Regions from separate parts of the Mus musculus genome. Here regions 1, 3, 4, 5 and 6 are each reported to be linked to region 2. Evidence: microRNA targets listed by miRTarBase, many of them from high-throughput screens and not tested one by one. Region 2 holds a microRNA gene; each other region holds the end of a gene's coding sequence.

The links. The annotated mature microRNA mmu-miR-449c-5p reads AGGCAGUGCAUUGCUAGCUGG and lies in region 2 at 1,867-1,887, shown strand. An mRNA with a match to its seed (bases 2 to 7 or 8) in the 3' UTR can be bound and repressed. Matches are read on the target gene's strand: a 7mer-m8 pairs with bases 2 to 8, a 7mer-A1 pairs with bases 2 to 7 and ends in A, and an 8mer does both.
Region 1: the mRNA of Slc35e2 is a reported target of mmu-miR-449c-5p. The part of its 3' UTR that is shown has no 7-base or 8-base seed match.
Region 3: miRTarBase lists Cemip as a target of mmu-miR-449c-5p. Seed matches in the 3' UTR shown: 8mer at 1,450-1,457, 7mer-m8 at 1,233-1,239 and 8mer at 1,188-1,195.
Region 4: the mRNA of Rgs17 is a reported target of mmu-miR-449c-5p. Seed matches in the 3' UTR shown: 7mer-m8 at 2,134-2,140.
Region 5: miRTarBase lists Vps9d1 as a target of mmu-miR-449c-5p. Seed matches in the 3' UTR shown: 7mer-m8 at 1,980-1,986.
Region 6: miRTarBase lists Phc3 as a target of mmu-miR-449c-5p. The part of its 3' UTR that is shown has no 7-base or 8-base seed match.

What each region holds. Positions count from the first base shown.
Region 1 is chr4:155,618,169-155,621,263 of GRCm38, forward strand. It overlaps Slc35e2 (solute carrier family 35, member E2), which reads left to right. Exons shown (of 9, transcript NM_177186.4): 9 at 344-3,095. The coding sequence ends at 581. All of the region lies in intron 1 of Gm16023 (predicted gene 16023), which reads right to left. Among named protein-coding and RNA genes, the nearest start is that of Gm16023, 5.0 kb to the right of the region's middle.
Region 2 is chr13:113,034,142-113,037,227 of GRCm38, forward strand. Mir449c (microRNA 449c) reads left to right here and starts at 1,842; the gene lies at 1,842-1,950. Cdc20b (cell division cycle 20B) reads left to right here and starts at 1,238. Exons shown (of 12, transcript NM_001281487.1): 1 at 1,238-1,300; 2 at 1,573-1,635. The coding sequence starts at 1,238.
Region 3 is chr7:83,932,863-83,935,965 of GRCm38, forward strand. It overlaps Cemip (cell migration inducing protein, hyaluronan binding), which reads right to left. Exons shown (of 29, transcript NM_030728.4): 29 at 1-2,886. The coding sequence ends at 2,759. Among named protein-coding and RNA genes, the nearest start is that of Gm30440, 36 kb to the right of the region's middle.
Region 4 is chr10:5,830,181-5,833,283 of GRCm38, forward strand. Rgs17 (regulator of G-protein signaling 17) reads right to left here. Exons shown (of 5, transcript NM_019958.4): 5 at 1-2,961. The coding sequence ends at 2,773. Among named protein-coding and RNA genes, the nearest start is that of Mtrf1l, 7.8 kb to the left of the region's middle.
Region 5 is chr8:123,240,593-123,243,695 of GRCm38, forward strand. Vps9d1 (VPS9 domain containing 1) reads right to left here. Exons shown (of 15, transcript NM_028200.2): 14 at 3,096-3,103; 15 at 1,764-2,597. The coding sequence ends at 2,504. 4933417D19Rik (RIKEN cDNA 4933417D19 gene) reads left to right here. Exons shown (of 3, transcript NR_045849.1): 3 at 1,207-1,767. Among named protein-coding and RNA genes, the nearest start is that of Spata2l, 5.9 kb to the left of the region's middle.
Region 6 is chr3:30,904,657-30,907,744 of GRCm38, forward strand. It overlaps Phc3 (polyhomeotic 3), which reads right to left. Exons shown (of 15, transcript NM_001165954.1): 15 at 1-2,834. The coding sequence ends at 2,680. Among named protein-coding and RNA genes, the nearest start is that of Gpr160, 50 kb to the left of the region's middle.

The DNA of each region.
Region 1 (3,095 bases), not on the chromosome of region 2:
AGTTTTGAGCCACCATCTGGGTGCTGGAAACCAGGTCCTCTGAAAGAGCAGCCATTGCTCTTACCTACTGAGACATTTCTTCAGCCCTTGTTTTGAAATTTTTCATTAAAAAAATAATAAACCTGAGAAATAAAAGAGGGAAGATGCAGGTGAACCCCCCCCCCCCCCAATGCTCCTAACCCCTCTGTGTTGGGCACCTTATCCATGTCCCTCTTTGGGCTGAGACCCTGGATGGACAACACAGCACTGTTGCATTGTGTGACATTCGTAGTTACTGCCAGCAGCAGGCTATACCCTGTGTGGGTGTGAACCCAGAGTCTGACTGTTATCTCTACTGCTGTAGTGTCGCCAGTACTGTGAAGCACGCCTTGTCTATCTGGCTCAGCATCATCGTTTTTGGAAACAAAATCACTAGCCTGTCTGCCATTGGCACCATCCTTGTCACATTGGGTGTCTTGCTCTACAACAAGGCCAGGCAGTATCAGCAGGAGACTATGCAGAGTCTGGTCACAGCCACCAGCCGAAACCCAGAAGATGACACAGAGCCCCTTGTTCCCCAGGACTCTAGACAGCACCACTGATCACCTGATGCTGTGTAGATCCAGGCCTAGATGTTCCTTCTGTACTAGAGGGAAATGATGCAGGGCAGGTCTCTCGCTCCTTCCTGGAAATCAGATGGGGAATTTGGGACTCAGCTTCTGCCTGGCAGAGCACCACAGGACCAAATGATCTACAGCTTCCCTGGCTGCAAGTGAACCAGTGTCTCCGTGCCCAGCCTGCACTGTGGAATAAGCACAGGCTCCAGGATCAACCCGAGTTGCTGTCTGTTTGATGCCATCCAGGAGACCTAAACTTTTCTATCACCACCACCACCACCACCACCACCACCATGGAAGCCTCTTGGTTCTTGACAGTCTATGAAACAGACATTCCAGATGCCAATGACTCTAGCATGGAGCCATAAAACCCAGAGTAGCAGGCAGAAGAGACAAGTTTCTCCTGCCACGGAGAGACAGTGCTGTGTGAAGGAGAAGTGTCTCCTCCTTGGCCTGTGCTACATTGAACTACCCTGCTCCAGGGTTGTTGTCCCATGTTTCTGCTACCATTTTGTGATTGCCCATTCTGGGAAGTTGGCAGCAAATCTCTAATTCAAGCAGATGGTCTGGAGTGCTTTTCCATTTTAAGTATGTGAATGTGAAGCGGGCGATTCTGAATGGCACAGTGGCTGCCCTATGAAGATTTCCCTTCAGGATGCTTGATAGGGACGTTCTGACGAGCATTTGAGTGTTTATAGGCTATGCTGTAGTTAAAGGGACACTTCTTTTTGATGTAGCAGGTGCCTGTCGAGGTTTCTCTGTGTCTCCATGTAAGGTACATCAAAGTGTACATGCACAACTAACTCTTCACCAGGGATCATATGATGACTGCCTGAGCCACCAGGTCTCCAGAGCTTAAGGTGGAGTGGAGGACAACAGTGGGCCTTGGGTTAACACGCTGAGGTTCTACATTATTCGGCATTTTGTGAGTTGTGTGTGGGGTGCAGTCTGTTGCTAGCCAGTCTCTAAGACTCCATTACTTACAAGCTGCAGCCACTGGCACTCCTTGTCCAGGTCTCACTGGTCCTCCCTGCTCTAAGTCTTTCGTGCACATGGTGGTTCAAAAAGATAATGGGGTGAAAAAGAGCAATAATTATGTCTACATTTTATTTACTTGAAAAAGCCATCTGCCATGATGATGGATCAAAATGAGGCCTTTTAATCCATAAGCCAACTTTTAAAAGAAGCTGATGTGTGCTGGACATCAGCTAGGTGTATCTTTACTATGCTATGTAAAGATATTGTGAAGATGTTCTCTCATTTGACTTTGCCCAGGTTTCTAGTTCCTTCCTCTTTGCTCTTCTCAAAATAAAGATCCAGTGGAGGACAGATGGCAGACGTTGGATTAATCTGTGTAGACCTGTCTGCTCAAGATCTGGCTGTGGAGCTGCTGACACCGAAGAGCACGTGCTTGTGGGTATTGGTTGGCAGAGCTCTTCTGGCCTTCCCGCAGACCTGTCTAAGTATGCTCAGAGCTCTACATGCCTGGCTTCTTACTATTATTTGGAATTTCTGCCTGTGTCCTATGTTTAATTAGGAAATGACCTATTGTGACTTGCTCTGGCCATCCCTCCCCCATGTCACAAGACTCAGCTTGTTTTGATTTTCTTAAGGTTTGGGCTAGAAACAAAAACAAAGATTTTTCTTAAAGCAATTTTCTCTAAAGCTGCTTTGAGACTTTTCCTCATAGGTGGAAAGATCATGGAATCAGCTGCTTCCTTCAGGTCTTCCAGGACAGGGCTGGGTTGAGAATCGTGGAACGGCCCTGCTTGACCATTTGTTATGACTATACCATAACAATACATTTTTAATTGACTTTGTTAGTACTTTCATAGAATACTATGTTCTTCATGAATTGTTACTGATGTAAATGTACAAATATTGACACCACGTGTCATTCCTTGTCCTGGATAATTCCTCCTGAGTTTATGTCATTGTCTGGTCTGTTGTAAACAGAACACTGGATTGACCTTCTGAGCCAGCTAGCTGCTTACTCACTGCACGCATAGTTAAAAGATATACACATTTCTAATTTCAAAAATAGTTCTAGGAGCTACAGAGATGGCCGAGTGGTTATGTTTCTTGCTGAGGACCCAAGTTCAGTTCCCAGAACTCATGTAGAGTGTTTCACCAACTTCCTATAACTTCAGCATTAGGGATTCTAATGCCTCTGGCTTCTCTGGGCATCTGCACACTGGCTTGTGTATGAACACACACACATATACACACACACATATATCTTAAAAATAAGTACATTTGCTAGGGGAGGTGGTGCAAGCCTTTAATCCCAGCACTTGGGAATCAGAGGCATGTGGATCTCTGAGTTTGAGGGCAGTCTGGACTACAGAACAAGTTCCAGGACAGCCAGGGCAACACAGAGAAAAGCCTGTCTTGAAAAACCAGATAAATAGATAAATAAAATTTAAAAACGTCCATGATTTGGGGTATACCTTAGTGGCACATCACTGGCATGTATTGTGAAGCTCTTGGGTTGATCAC
Region 2 (3,086 bases):
CACATTTTCAACCGTTGTCATTGGAACACTGGGAGCTGGGTTGCTACGAAGCCGGTATTTCTTGAATTTTCAGACGTACTAGAGTGGGCTTAAGTTATTGAGCAGTTTGAATCTCCTAGCCCCAGCATGCACAAAACAACTTATTAGAGTTAAAATGCAATCTGCTGTCACTTTGGGATGGGGACCTGGGAGCAGAGAACCTGGCTGCTGGACCTCCTAGGTTGCTCAGACAGTTTAGTCTCCTGCCATATGGCCCAGCTTGCCTTGGCAGCTCAGATGGGCAGGCAAGGCTGAGCAGCCCATCTGGCTCCCTGTCTGTCAGTCGTCTCCAGGTCCCTCCAGACCCTCGAGCAATTTCATGATCGATCCAGTCCTAGGCCTGGTCAGCTGTCTCACTGGCTTTCCTTGGCTCTTTCCCTCTCTCACAAACTTCCTGCTTATGAAGTAGCTCCCAAGATCCAGCAAGAGAACTTGGCCAGTTCCCCAATTCCCCAAGTGGACAGTGCGGATAATTTATTAATTGGAAATGTCAACGCATTTCTCGGCAGCCTAGACACCCCCCCCCCCTTTTTTGAGTTTGAGTTTGAAGACAGAGGAGTTAACATGCTCATTGAGAGACATGTTTACGTTCAGGAATTTTCACAAGCGATTATCACTAAGCAGTAAACAGAAGGGTGAGAATTACTGCACGCGTCCAAATTTGATAATCAGGGTGGGGTTGAAGAAAAGGAGAGGGGAACGGAAAAAAAGGATTAGAGTCAGTTAGGACGAAACGTTTTTGCTTTTGAAAACAACAGTGAACTCCAAAAACCCCGCTTCTCTACCCGCCGACTCCGCACCTCCTGCGGGCTCGGGCAGGAGGCTCAGGCCCGCCACTGCTCGCGGCAAAGCTTGGCGCTGCGGCGCGCGCCGCTCGGGAGGCCCAGTGCGGGGGCGCGGGTAGGAGGGCGGGACCCGAGCGAGCACCCCGACACCCCAGACTTGACGTCATCGAGGCGCTGGCCTGTGGCGGGACCGACGGAAGGAGGTTCCCGCTTTGATTGCCGCCCCGCGGGCTTTTTAAAGGTTACCCTGGGGAATACGCTCCAGGAGCTGTGGGAGGAGCGAGGGTCTCGGGGGTAGGAGGGCAGGTTTGATGGGTTTAGGGGGACGAGGCTAGCGGTTTGGGAAGTCGTGGTCCTGCTTAGCCCCTGAGGGGGAGAGGCAAGGCGTCCAGGAACAGCGCACTCACTCGGAGATGGAGTGGAAACTGCAACGCACCGCCCGGAGGAAGATCCGGACGGAAGAAGAGATGTTGTGGGTGCGTACCATCCTTTTCTTTCTTGACCCAACCCTCCCATGGGGCTTCTTGCAGAAGGTACGGTTTGTAATACCCAGTAAGGACCAAAAGATGCCATGAAATTCTACAGCCTAGTTTAAATTTTGAACGGTGTGAAATTTAAGTTCTGGAGATACCTGGTTGCTTTAGAAAGAATGAGTGAATCAGCAAACCCAGGATTCAAAACAATTCCCCACTCTCCGTGACGATTTTCCTAGAGTTTTCTCCCTTCTTATGTTAATCTATTTCCAAAGGAGAACATCATGCGGGTGCTCGCCAACGGCATGAAGCAGCAGCGAAATCAAGGTTCCCCCAAGGTGAGTTTTCTGGGCTTGCCCTTCTGTCTTCATTCTGATCTCGAGCAAATTAATTCTTGCTATAGAAGGCATTTGCAGGAATTATGGGAGAATTAATACAAATTAAAAACCTTTACAGAATCTGAAGACTTAAGAAATGGATTCTCACAACTGATGTAGCTACTTATACCTGCTTAGCGGGCGCTTCCCAGTGTCCGGCTCCACAGAGGATGAAGTGTGGGTGTGTCAGGCAGGCAGTGCATTGCTAGCTGGCTGTTAGAACTTTATCCCAACAGTTGCTAGCTGCACTACCCTCTGCTGCACTCAGAAGCATGCAAAGACGTGGAAATAGTGCCATCTGGTGGATAAGGAGGTGTCTTCAAGACAGCTACTAAAAGCTGGATCCAATATAGTATTTCTGCCCCTTAAAGCTCTAACCCAAAGCTTGCAGTTCTTTTTAAAAGAGTGTTCTTTTGAAACTCATTTTTATTACCTTGTGTTTATTTACCTGCACTTATATCTGTGCATCACGTGTGTGCGTGGTGTCCGCGGAGCTCAGAAGAGGGCTTCTGATCGCCTGGAACTGGAGTTTCAGGCTTTTGGGGGCCGCCCTGTTGGTGTTGAGAATCTAATCTGTGTTCTCTGGAGGAGCAGCCAGTGCTCTTTTCAGCCGCTGAGCCATCTCTCCAGCTCCTGTACTTTCTTTAATGGATGAAAAAGTTAAATCCTCATCTGACTCACATCTCTAGCACCACTTACTTCTCTTTACACCAAATAGCCCACATGCTTTTAAATTTAGATTATTAGCTAAAATCTCACCATTTGAATATTTTTCTAGATAACATACATTTTTCTATATTCAATCAGTGACGCTTGAAATCAAATATATAGCTGGCCTTTTAAAATGCAGTGACTAATGTCACCTATAGAGAAATAACATTTAAAAGCCTTTACATTGTGTCTTTAGTTATGTTTCCTGCCCAAATTATTTTATCTTCTAGATACTTTACTGCCTAATTCAATTGAACTTTTGTTAATTCATTTTTACTTTGCTAACATCTTTAACTTAACATTAAATTTGGAAAACCCAAGTATAAGAATACAGAGTTCTTAGTCAAGCACTTAATGCCAGCACTTGGGAGGCAGAGGCAGGTGGATCTCCCGGCTCCAGGCCAGCCTGGTCTACACAGCAGTTCCACATCAGCCAGGGCTACAAAAAAAAAAAAAAAAAAAAAAAAAAACACAAAAACAACCTGTCTAGAAAAAAATTAGCCAATCAACCCCCCACCCCCAAGGGGGAAAAACAAACAAAACATCAAAAACCACATTTAAAGTTCTTAAAAGTTTTTTTTTTTAAAACATGGGTATAGCTTGGTAATATAAATTTTGTTTCTTATAGTTTAGGAGACATTAAACAAGGTTTCTCTATAAATCCTCTTCAGTTACTAAGATTAGAGTTCTGGGGTTGGCAA
Region 3 (3,103 bases), not on the chromosome of region 2:
CCTTTGTATGTTTAATATGGTACAGCAGGATTTTTCCAAACCAGAGCTGATGTCCTTGGCTCTGGGCACACCTCCTTCCGGTGGTCCAAAGGACATCCTCTAATATAATACTTAAGATGACTCTTCACTTCTCTGACAGTGACTTCTTGAAGTGAATATATAATAAATAAATAGAAAATATACCTTTGTTCATGGTGACACTTTTAAGGAACATTTACATACAAAACATGCTATGCATCCAATTCACAAGAAAGAGCCAGCTATTAAGCCAACAGGACAGATGAGCCTTTCAATCAAAGGCCCCTGACTCAGTGACAATGCTGACCAACAGAAAGGACAAGAGCAACTTTCTAAGCAAGAAAGACTTTTGTGCTACCAAGAAAATGCCTGTATATCGACTCTTGGTGAATAGTTTAGGAAAGAACGCTTTCCGTACAGAACCTGTACTGTTCAACATATGTACAACTCAGAGAACTTTCCAATAGGTATTTGCTGAAATGAACTGAGCCAAAGACATTCAACATTCATGGCCACCTGAAAGTGATCGAGTCTTAAGTGGTTCACAGTGTGAGACCCTCGCCTTGAAAAGTCAATGAAACTTAGACAAGAAAAACATGAGGTCACTTTTATCCCCTCCCCCTCCCCCTCCCCCTCCCACTCATCTCCCCAGAAGAGGTCTTTTCTCTGACACTCGCAACTGGAGCCACTATGTCTTAAGAGGCATGGTCCCACAGACACATCCCAGCAGCTGCAAGATCCATTAGTAGGAAAGACCCCCTGCGAGTTGGCTCAACCTGGAGAGTAGACTCTGGGACTAAGGCTCCTTAATACCACTGGACAAAGGGGACCGAAGCAAATCTTCTTTGAAAAAGAAAGGTTGTGGTTGTGGAGGAAAGGGGACCAATCTCATTCATGAAACACAGAGAAACCCTGATGTCTCCGAAGAATATTGGACATGGATAGTTTTCACTCGTCTGGGCATCGGAGCTATTTGCTCAGAGTGAACATAAGCTGAAAGATCCTGGTCTGGAGCCAACCACTCTCAGATCCCCACAAGGAGCCAATTGGCCCAGCAGAAGCACATTGGCATATCCTGATGCTACCCATTGGGCATACCAGCACCACTGTGGAATAAGGTGGCACCAAAAGAATTCCACAGTCATGAGCAGCCCATGCCCACATGTGGCTGGCAGTGTAAAGACAGTGGCAGGGCTGCTGCCTAGAGGAGAGTGGGCAGTGTGTACTGAGGGGCAAGAGGGAAAAGCCCTTTGCAAAAGACCGTATATTTTGAAATTGAAAGAACCTAGTGGGGAACCCCCCACTCAATTCCCATTTGGTGCGCACCCAAGAATCACGAACAGCTTCTCCCCATTTCAGGTGATATGCTCCCTTCCGAAAGCTACTTGGGAATACTGGACACCCCAGGCTAGCCACTGAGGCAATGTGGTGTGGCAGTGGGTTGCTGAGCTTGGGGCTCACAGACCTGGCTGTGTTATTGAGTACCATTTTCCTCAGATGTAGGTACAAAATGCTGGGCTAGATGGTCCTCAAGGGCCCCCAAGGTCCTTTCCATCTCTGACACCCCAGGTTCACTGTGGCGAGAGCATGTTCAGATTTCCTGGAGTCTTCTGCTCAGCTCCAAGCTGAAGTGCACTGGAGACCCATTGTACAGCCTCAGGTCTGTGAACTTCACTTCACCCTCTCGCAGAGTCAGAGGGGGCTGGCTGGACACCAATCTGAACGAGGTTCTGTGCATCGTAACTCAGTCCATTTCTCTCCGCAGACCCTGCTTCTCTATCACAAGTGGGTCAGCAAGAGGTGACCTAGCATGACTCAGATGCTGCAAGTGGTGGCAGGAAAGCCTTCACCTCTGAGCCATGCCAGAGGCCACCTCTTCTCTCTTCATCATCTCTGTCCTTGATTCCTGCCAGGACCATCACCTTCCAGAAGAAGCCTTCCCCATGTTTCTGGGTGTGGTGAGGTTCCCCTCCTCCAATCCACCTCTGCTCTCTCAACCTGGTATCAAAGTGTGCTGAGACCTGGCTGCCTGTCACCAGCTGACCCCCAGGTCTGAGCTCTCATCGCTCCATTCTCTGTATCCAGGGCACTCAGTGGAGATGTCAACTACAATGATTACTTCTACTGATGGGCTCCAGGCACAGAGCAAAGCACAGTTGAGTCCTGTAATCTCAGGAAGGACAAACAGGATCCACCTAGTCCCTGTCCCAGTGTGCCAGCTGAAGTCTCTTGAAAAAAGGATCCCCTGTAGACAGGGTTCCATCTCCTCCCCAGTGCAATCTGCCATGCTGGACAGCTCTGTCCATACGCCAGCTCCTAAACTCAGGAAGCCGCACCCTCACTTACAGGAATAAAGATGTACTCCTTCCATCTGCCACTTAATGTATCTGAAAGTGACTATGGAAATCTGCAAGTGGTCACATTATCCAGACCATCTCCTAGGTGGGTTCAGACTCCTGCCCAAGTGGCCCTTTGCTGCCAGCACAACTCAGGTCTCTTTGTATGGTCCCCATGCCTACCGATGAGGCACAGATAGGAGAGAAGCACCCAAGAGGAGGTTGTAGCATCGGCCAACACTGCCCAGGGGCTGCAGGTAGACTTGAGTAGGGGCAGGTGGCAGCACCAAGGTCTCTGATATCTGTCCCTTAGCCCAGCAGAGCTGAGAACCAGGGGGCCTAGCCATCCTGACCCCGGCTGCTGTAGGGGTCCAGCCTGGGGTGGTACCAAGTGGCAACTCTCCTTACAGCTTCTTCTTTCTCACCACAGGGATGGGCACCACTTGGAAGATTTTGGCTTTGTGGTCCTCAGTCTCCAGAGTCACCCAGATGGGTCGGAAGCTGCCTTTGAAGCCGACGAACGCCATCTTTTCTGTAAAAGTGAGGAACCAAGTGGGTGAAAATAATGAAGCTATTAGAGAATTGCTGCAAGCCAGGACTTGGTGCTCCCCTTCAGCATCCTCTGTCCCCAGAGGGCAATCCCTTCCTAGTGACATTGAGCTCTGGCCCTCTAGAGTAAGCTCTCAGCCCAGCTGGTGCTGGGATTTGGTATCTTTTTGTATGGGGTTTGTAGCTATCACTCTTGAGCC
Region 4 (3,103 bases), not on the chromosome of region 2:
AAACATTCTCAAGTGAACTAAGAAGCCATCCCCCTGAAATATGAATTTAGCATAGAACTGCTCACATAGCAATGGCTAATGGCAGGGACTGTGCAAATCAGCTTTGGAACCTCCTTGTACACAGGTTCCAAAGACACAGCAACTTTGAAATCAAACACTGCAAATGCCTAGGTTAGAGATGAGGACTCTCTCAAGGAGCCTTATCTCTTCCATTTGGTAAAATATTAAATGCATTGTCACACAGACAGCTCGCCCAATAGTCCAGAGCGTATTGTAAAGATCGCCTGTGACAGTCAGTCACTGGCATCCATGGAACAGGGATATAATAAAGTCTACATCGAAAACAATCATGCATGCAGGGTGTGGTAATATATTACATTTTTCCTGGTCATGTGCACCAACTCATTGTGCCCCAAACACAGAACGAGGATGATGGTACACTATACATGTGTATACATCCTATTAGCATAATCAACACTAATCAAGGAAAGAATCAAATCATTCAGAACGGTGGGACTTCACAATAGAAGCCATGATGCTTTTACGTTTTCTTGACTCTTTAGGAAAAAATAGGATTATATTTTTGTAAACATCTTCATAACTATCTTTTTTTCTCAACAGATTACCAAAACTATTCAAATAGTAAACATCTAGGTGACATAAGCAAAGCGTATCTTAAACACACTAACACTTTCAGGAAAAAAAAAAATCCACAGGCATTTTTTAAAAGATGAATATTATAAATATCTTGCATTTAAACTACATTGTCATAAATAATGTATTTAAAAGTGCTGAGCATGGTAGGATAGTCAGCGGCGCCAGTGTAAACACAACGTTTTGTTTTTCCACTCTGCAAATTGTTTTTTTAAAATCCCATTTTGTCAAACACTGCAACAGTTAAAATATTTGCATAGGGAATATGTAATAGCCCTTTGAATCATAGCTCCTGAATTCTATATAAATTAGAAAATCATATTCACTTAAAAAACAATTCTTGAAATGTTTTAAATTTATGGAAAAAGAAACATGATGCCAACCTTTCAAGTAAAATAAAGTTAAAAAGAAAACTCCAAACTTGTGCTTTAAAAAAATATGTTTAATAAATTAAAAATATGAGAGGTAGTTAAAAATGACAAATAAAACCTATAATTTTAATATCATCCTTAATATAAGGCCTGTATTCTCAGTGGATATAAATCTTTTTAAATCTTTCATTTTTAAAGGTTACTCAACATATACTCATTGAGTTTAAGATTAAAAAAATAGGCTCCAGGGGATTTTGATATTGAAAGGTAAGACCTTGATATAAATATGACATTGATTGTAATTTTGGTTTTGTGCACAAGACGATACTGTTCAGAAGGTCATAAATACATGCTGTGGTCAGGGGAGTATTTCATGTAAAGAGTTAATGTAATTATAAAAAAATAATATTGGCAGCTAGAAGGTTTGAGCACTGTACTGCCTTTTAATTATGGATGAGGGTTAAGAGTTTGTTTTTAACAATGTTAAAATAAGTCTTTCTTGAGAGACTATGTGAAAACAGTTAAGGTCTGACATTGAAGGTTTTCTTCTTTGTAATTCTTTATAAAGTGTTACTTAGGAAAAACTTAAGCTTTTCACTGGATTATATGTTCAAGGTGAATACGCCACAAGTCAGATGCAATTCCTCACTATGCTTTTGACAGTGCTACATGTAGGCATTCCTTTACTAGTTCTTTTCCCTTTATATTCCCAAACTGGATTATCGAACTTATTATTGTTTACCTGCTGACATTCAGAGGTTTGCATCACTCTTTTAGAACTGAGGAGCCATTCTTTAATAACTCAATTATAGTACTGGACATTTCATATATACATAGACTCTTTTCTTCTTTCAGACCTAAAAACAGTATCACTCTTGGAATTTTCAATGAGACAGGATATCTGCAGATTGTTTTGTGCTTATTAAAATTTTTCTTATCATAAAGTTTTGTCTTCTCTCTCTTTCTTTTTCTTCTTTCCTTCTTTCTTTCTTTTCCTTTCTTTCCTTTTTTTCTCTTCTTTTCTTTCTTTCTTTCTTTCTTTCTTTCTTTCTTTCTTTCTTTCTTTCTTATATAGTAAACTCTTCTGTAACAAAAATGCCAGAATTTGGGCAGTGAACAACCAGAGGGCTCACACAGTAAGATCCTTTAACAGCTTCTATTTTTTTTAAACATGTACAGAAAAATTGGCTTCAGAGACGGTATACTAAACACAGTATGTAGCATGGTTAAATATCACTGTTACATGTTTAAAATAGCCTTTGTGTGTATTGGATTATGCTTTTAAAAAATGCAAACCACGGCCAATTTGTTGGCAATTGTTTCTAAGAGACCATATTGCACAAAAGTCCTTAAATACAGATACAAGGTATGCTACTGATTTAATAGCACAAGTAAAGGGCAGACGAAGCAGTTTTACTTTGCACATGCGGCCTCTAGAGATGCACTAGGGGATTGTTCAGAGGACTAGGAACACAATTTGCTTGCAAGTAGAGCAAGTGTTGAATCAAACAAACTTAATTTGGCAATTCATTGTCTCATATAGGCTTTTTTTGTTGTTGTTGCCCCAAACAGAATCATGGATAACCTTGATAAAAATGGAGACAAGAGACCTTCCTCATTGTATTTCCCCAGCAGTCAACCTGTAGTTTTTCAGGAACTCAATTTCTGGTGTTATTTAATTACTTTTATTTCCCATCCCAGCCCTCTGAAATGGATTTTTTTTTTTTTTTGGCCTGTCAACTGAAAATTAGGATTCAGAAGTACAGCTGGTGGTACTTTCCACAAAAGCTTTATAGATCTGTGAGTTCAAGAATCTTGGGAAAGAATCTCTGTGCATTAGGGTGTAGATCTGAAGCTGGGCGTCTTCATACATGTGTGGGCTGGGGTCCAGCAGACTCCTGTTGATCACCTCTCTAACTCGAGAATCCAGGCTGACCTAAAAGGAACAGAAGCAGATGTGCCCATGTGGTTTTGTCAAATAAAAGGTATTGGTTAAGTAATCATGACATCTCAGAGAGATTTCATAGGTTCAATCTCACACTCACGACACTCACACCCATAACACTGGAGATGGTCCT
Region 5 (3,103 bases), not on the chromosome of region 2:
TCCAGGACAGCCAGGGCTGCACAGAGAAACCCTGTCTCGAAAACAACAACAACAACAACAACAACAACAAAACCAACAACAACAAAACCAACAACAACAAAAAAAGAAATTCACAGGCAAAGTGAATTTTGAATTATGAGTTTCAGTTATATACAAAAAATGATTCTGACACGCACGCACGCATGCACGCACACATGTACACACACAGAGGAGCATCGCTTGCACAACTGGCTTCATCTTAGTGCCATGGTCAGCTGAGCAGCACTGCGTGGTCTCTCCCAGGGTGTGCCGCAGTATGTTCTGATTTTATCCCAACCCAACAGGTACTCTCAGAACTGGGATTTACGTTAACCCAGTAACCTTGGTTCTGTGAAGTGGGGCCTTAAAACTGACTTGAAAGTCAGAGCAGGGGCTGGTGAGATGGCTCAGTGGGTAAGAGCACCCGACTGCTCTTCCAAAGGTCTGGAGTTCAAATCCCAGCAACCACATGGTGGCTCACAACCATCCACAACCATCTGTAACGAGATCTGACTCCCACTTCTGGAGTGTCTGAAGACAGCTACAGTGTACTAACATATAATAAATAAATAAATCTTAAAAAAAAAAAAAGAAAGTCAGAGCGGAAGCCTGCAGCAGGTCCATTACCATAAAACTCAGTAGTCCCCTGGCATTCCCGTCCAAGGTCTCTACACCTCACCAGAGCACGAGCCTCGAGGAGCCGACAGTGCCGACGATCCAAGTCAGCTGAGACACACGGTATCTGTTTTAACATTCATTCATCTTTCATTCATTTTTTGAGACAGGGTTTCTCTGTGCAGCCCTGGCTGTCCTGGAACTCAGTTTGTAGACCAGGCTGGCCTCGAACTCAGAAATCCACCTGCCTCTGCCTCCCAAGTGCGCCTCCACTGCCCAGCAAGTGCTCTTAACTACTGAGACATTTCTCTGGCCTAGCTGAGACCCGAGTCTGTGCTATTCCTGACGCAGGTGAGTGGGAAGTAGCTGCTGGGGGCTTCCGGCCCATTCCCAATCCGCAGAGATCGCGACCATAGGTCAAATGCCCCAGGAATGGGTGTCGTGCCCAGGCTGACCTGGGCCCACCACTTGCTTTTGGTGTCATGGCCTCAGGCTTCTCTTGCACCATTTGCAGACTGGACTCTGAGGTCAGCCTACGAGGCTCCAAGATGCATGTTCTCCATTTCCTTGCAGGTTGGAACACAAGTGTTCAATAAATGCCCAATAACCAAGTTACATCTAGCCTGACTCCAAGAGGCTCCAACGACCCCACTACTACTGCCGTCTGGGACTGGAAACTCCCCCGTGTCCTGCCACCACCTCCTCACAGCAACCCCAGCTGCCATGGGTATTTCCTTTCTTGGGTGGGTCAGCTCGCCTCCGTGGAAGATGCTGCCTGTGCTCGGATGCCAGCATCACCCTAGGGCCCCAGCAGAACCAAAGGGCATCGCTGTGTGGGACAGTCCATTGTGTGTGAGAGTAGGCTGAAGATTACTCAGGCGCCTTCAGGGAACTGCTGTGGGCTCAGGACTACAGTAATGACTCAATTCCAGCCGTCCTAATGGTACCCTGCAGACACTTGCTATCCCAGAGCGGGGAAGTCCACAATTTCCTGGCTGGGAACAGCCCTGGGAAGAGACTGCTTCTGTGCAGAGGATCTGGGGTTGGGCTGTCAGCTGTGATCTCTAGGAGGCTGGCTGTGTTGCCTGAGTCTTGGCTGCCTAGTGGGTAAACGAACAAGTCACATGGACTTCGGTAGAGTGACTTCTTTATTTTAGGCTGAGTTGGTAGCCACTTGGAGACATATAACAGTCTAGGGGCTGACCTCTAGACTCTGACATTGAAGAGTCTGTACAACTGTATTTGTTAGCCAGTGTCCTGAACATATTTCACTGTCCCCAACCAAGATAAGCCCAGGGCAGGATGTCCTGGACCTTGGTAGGAGAAAGGCTCATAACCCAGGCCTGGGCAGTGACACCCGGGCCAGCAAAAGCAAACAGGGCAGTTGCTACCTGGTAAATAAACAGTACAGCCTCACACTACCTACACCCAGTTCTCTGGGGGCAGGGTAAAGCCCACTTGTGACTAACAAGAAACTGGCTCACACAAACTTGGGCTGTCTCAGGAGACTGGAGGCATGTAAAACTAGATTGGCCCGGCAAGGTTCCCAATACCCATTTCTGTGCTGATACCCCAGTGGGGGCTGCCTAGTGTCCATGAGAAGAGGTCAGAGCCATCAATCAGTGCTGCAGGCTCCCCAGGGAACGGCAGCTAGATTTCTCCTATGGGGTCTGGGGCAGGCCTGACTCAGCCAGCCATGCCCTGTTAAAGAGGCACTGTCCTAGGCCTCCAGGACAGATGCATGGTAAAGAAGGTGAGCAAGTGCTATAGAGTGCTACCACAGCAAGCTGGCCTTCAGTGTCCCCACACCAGATATGCAGTGCAGCGTGGAGGTCCCGTGGCTCCTTTGGTCTGTGAGGTCCAGCCACCACTACTTGTCCAGCCGTCCCCGGGACAGAAGTTCCACATAGCTCAGGGCGCTCTGCAGTGATGTCAGACAATACCCTTCTTCTCCAATCAAGTACCTGTGTGGAGTGGGGAAGGACGTGTCGACTGAGAGGACAGATGGACAAGCCTAGGCCGCCAGAGGGCAACATCTTCCCTTCTTGCTTGGGCAATGACTCGGTCACGGGTAGAGTTGCTAGAGAGCTGGGTCAGGGCGGACCTTTCCCCACTGTCAGTCCAGGTCCTGTGATGGCCCTGTGGTGCATACTGCTCTTCCCCGGGCAGATGCTGATCAGAGACACCCTCTGGCTCCTGCACAGGGTCCTCTGAAGGCTACAGAGCATGCGGGTAAGAGTGTCCCATGCACAGTGGATCTCAGAGGGATGTCCGAAAGTGGCGGTGGTGCTGCGGGCCCCCTTGTGGCTTCCACGGCTTACTATAGCCATTGCTTTTGTACTGGGGGGGGTGAGGTTCCCTTGTCCCCCCTTGTCAGAGCTGCTCTGTCCCCAGCTCTTCCCACAGAGACCCTTCCCCCACATCAGCCTCCTAGTCACCCACTAGCCTGGGCCCCTTCCTACCCCTCATG
Region 6 (3,088 bases), not on the chromosome of region 2:
GCCAGCTGTTTATTTTCCTAAGAACACAGAACTTAAAACAAATAACATGTGAAAAGTGTGTCCCACAGTGGTTGAAGGGTTTCAAGTCAGGCAAGGCAAACTCAGAAAGCAACAATAGGAAGAAACCATGTTCCCTTCCTGTCTTTTTCTTTTTTTCCTCTAAGAAAGTTCTTAAGTGCTTAGTAATAAGAAAGGAAATGAAACTAGCGTTCTTCCTGTCCATGTCACATTGAACAGCCTAATACTCAGGAGATAGAGAGAAACACAGAGTGTGTCCCCATTTAATGTAATTGAAGCTTTCAAATTAGCACAATTAAAAATTACCTAGAAAGAAGTACCTACAGCAATGGGAGAACTACCAAACACCAAATGAGCCACTTCTAAATAAAATAACCCACTTGTAAAAAAAAAAGTGTATTTGCTAGTTAAATTTAAGTGCAGACAACAGAAGATCTGGGCTACTTCTAAGACGAAGGACAAGAAGGCATCCTCCAAGAGAAACCCTTCGTGTAAACTGTGTAGGGGTGCTTATGGACAGTGCTAGGCACAGGGGTTTCTCATAAGCACACGATGGGCTGGTTTTAGTACAAGTGCAGAGTTAATGCCTTAAAGGCTAGATGTAAGTATTTGTAGGAGGGAAGCATTATTGCTGGAGGTCTATTCTGGACAATCCCATATTCACTGTGGATTACTAACTACACCATAGTTTTCATTCCAGAGGAAATGTGCCTTGTGCCTCCTTCATTATGGCAGGCAGTCCTTAGTGCTGCATAGCCAGCCTCTGTTGGAGACAGGAACGTCCGTGACAACTCTGCCATGATGACTCAGTACTAATATATGCAGGTGACTGTAGAATACCTGCCTTCCTTGAAATGTGAATAACCAAATGTGACACAAAGAAATAGGGAACGTAGCCTATACTACTGTAGTCTGAAACAGGAGCCTCAGCTACTTACACATTCTGAGTCTACACAGGACTACTAGTGAACAGCTCTTAAAACTACTACAGCAATAATCTCACAAAGCATACATTCAAACAAGAGGCATCTAAAGATTAAAAAAATTATCCACTATATTTCTGTATAAAAATAACCAACATTTTCTAATGTACACAAAGCCAAAAGATAAATTTATCTGTGATGTCTTTGTGACATCTTTTAGTCTTCTACTAACTCAACCCAATCTCTGAAAAGCGCCATAAAGATGACTGAGCTCAGACTCTGCTGTCTTTTCCATCTGTGCCAAGGCTATGCACATGTCCCTTCATTTGTTCAGAGTTCTCAAACATGTAGCAAAAAGATAGAGAAAGCAAACAATGTCAGCAAATCTTTTGATGCCCAGCACTACAAAGATTTCAGAGCATCCACAGAAAAATTTGGCTTAGTGTCCTAACAGAAAACTGTTGAATAAAAACTTCTGATTAAGAGAAATCACTTTAAATACTTCGTGGGAAGAATCCACAGCCTTAGTAAGGGAGAAAGAACTGCATTCTAGCCAGACTCAGCAGGGTTGCTTCAAGGAAGGGATTCCACCTCCACTGCCACTGGGCTGCTGAAAGAGGCTCCGAGGCATGGCTGCATCAAGCACCATCATCGGTGCACAGAACAGAGTCAGGAAGAGGTGACAATGGGCCAGGGCCACACCAGAGTCACATGGTCTGTGAGTTAGCCTGGTTTTATAGCCCAGGTTTATGGATTTCCTTTCCTTTCTAGTATACGGTAAAACCAAAACCTGCTTCTGCAGAACTCTGGTGCCACTGGCTAACCCTTCACTGCACATCGCCCTCCTCACAGCCATCACTTAAGTATGCCTCTCTGCTCAGCCAGGCTGCCCACTGTGCTCACTGGCACCACTGGCATCCATAATACATCGTTCCTGGTGACAGAGGGGCATCCTATGTACTGTAGGGTAGTCAGCAACATCTCCACTGGCTGTCACACCTCAGTTCCTATAACCACCCTCACAAAACTCAAGCCCAAGCCATGGCAACCAGAATGTGTCTAGATATTGCCAATTGTCCCCTGGAGGACAAGTTCTCCACTGAGAACTATTGCTCTTAATGTACAAACCAGGAGGAAAATTGTCAGTCATGCCAACCTGGGTAAAGGCTAGACTAGAGACTCTTGAGAACTTCAAAAATACTGTTTATGCTAAAACACAATCCCTTTTCACAGCCAAAGCATTTGTCTGGAAGATACGCTTTTTAAAACAGACTGGCATTTCATTGCATTCAGTTCTGTCAATGGGCTCCTAAATTATCCTATATCTCTATGACAACATTTAGAAAACTAACTGGGTAGGAAAACGTATAAGAAAAGAGAATTAAAGGAGGGGGAGTGTAAATCAATAATTATTTTTAAAAGGTTTTTTTATATTAATGATAAACATTACCTTTAAAAAATTATCTAGTATAACATGTTTCTTTGAAAAATATGGGCCTCTGTAACAAGTCTTTCAGTGTAGCATGTAAGTGGTAAAATTAATGTCACCGATGTTCACTAATTATGAAAATGTATGATGAGTTAGGACATCTGAAGAGAAACGTCGGCACTGGCCGTGGCGGTCCCAGTGCACTCGGCCTTCCTCCATCAGTCTGATATTCTCAGGAGAGAATCCCAGCGAGGCTTTACCTTCACCTTGTGAGAGGAATGGGCTGAGAAGCACAAAGCCTCGCTCCTGTTAAGAGTCCTTCAGAGAGTTGATGCGTGCACAAATCTTCAGGGCTGGGCCCAGCTTCATGTTCATTGCACTCATGAGATGGTCTTCTTTTAGCAAGAGCAGGGCCTGCCCATCAATCTCTTGTGCCCTGAACTCATCTGCAACGTCCTGGCAGCCTGGAATTCCATGAGAAGACAGAGTTACACACAATTAGAGTTCTGTTGTCACTGGGTGTGAGAGCTCACAACAGAGGCTGAGAAGCCAATGTGCTACAAGGCCTGGAGCTCACCCTTGAAGAAGTCAAAAAACCATTACACAAGAGGAATCAGGCAACATATCCTATTTCTCATGCAAAAGAACTGCATTGCTAGGTTTTACACCTCATGGACTCATCTTTGCATAACATAGTTCCACATACAGGGAGAGAGGA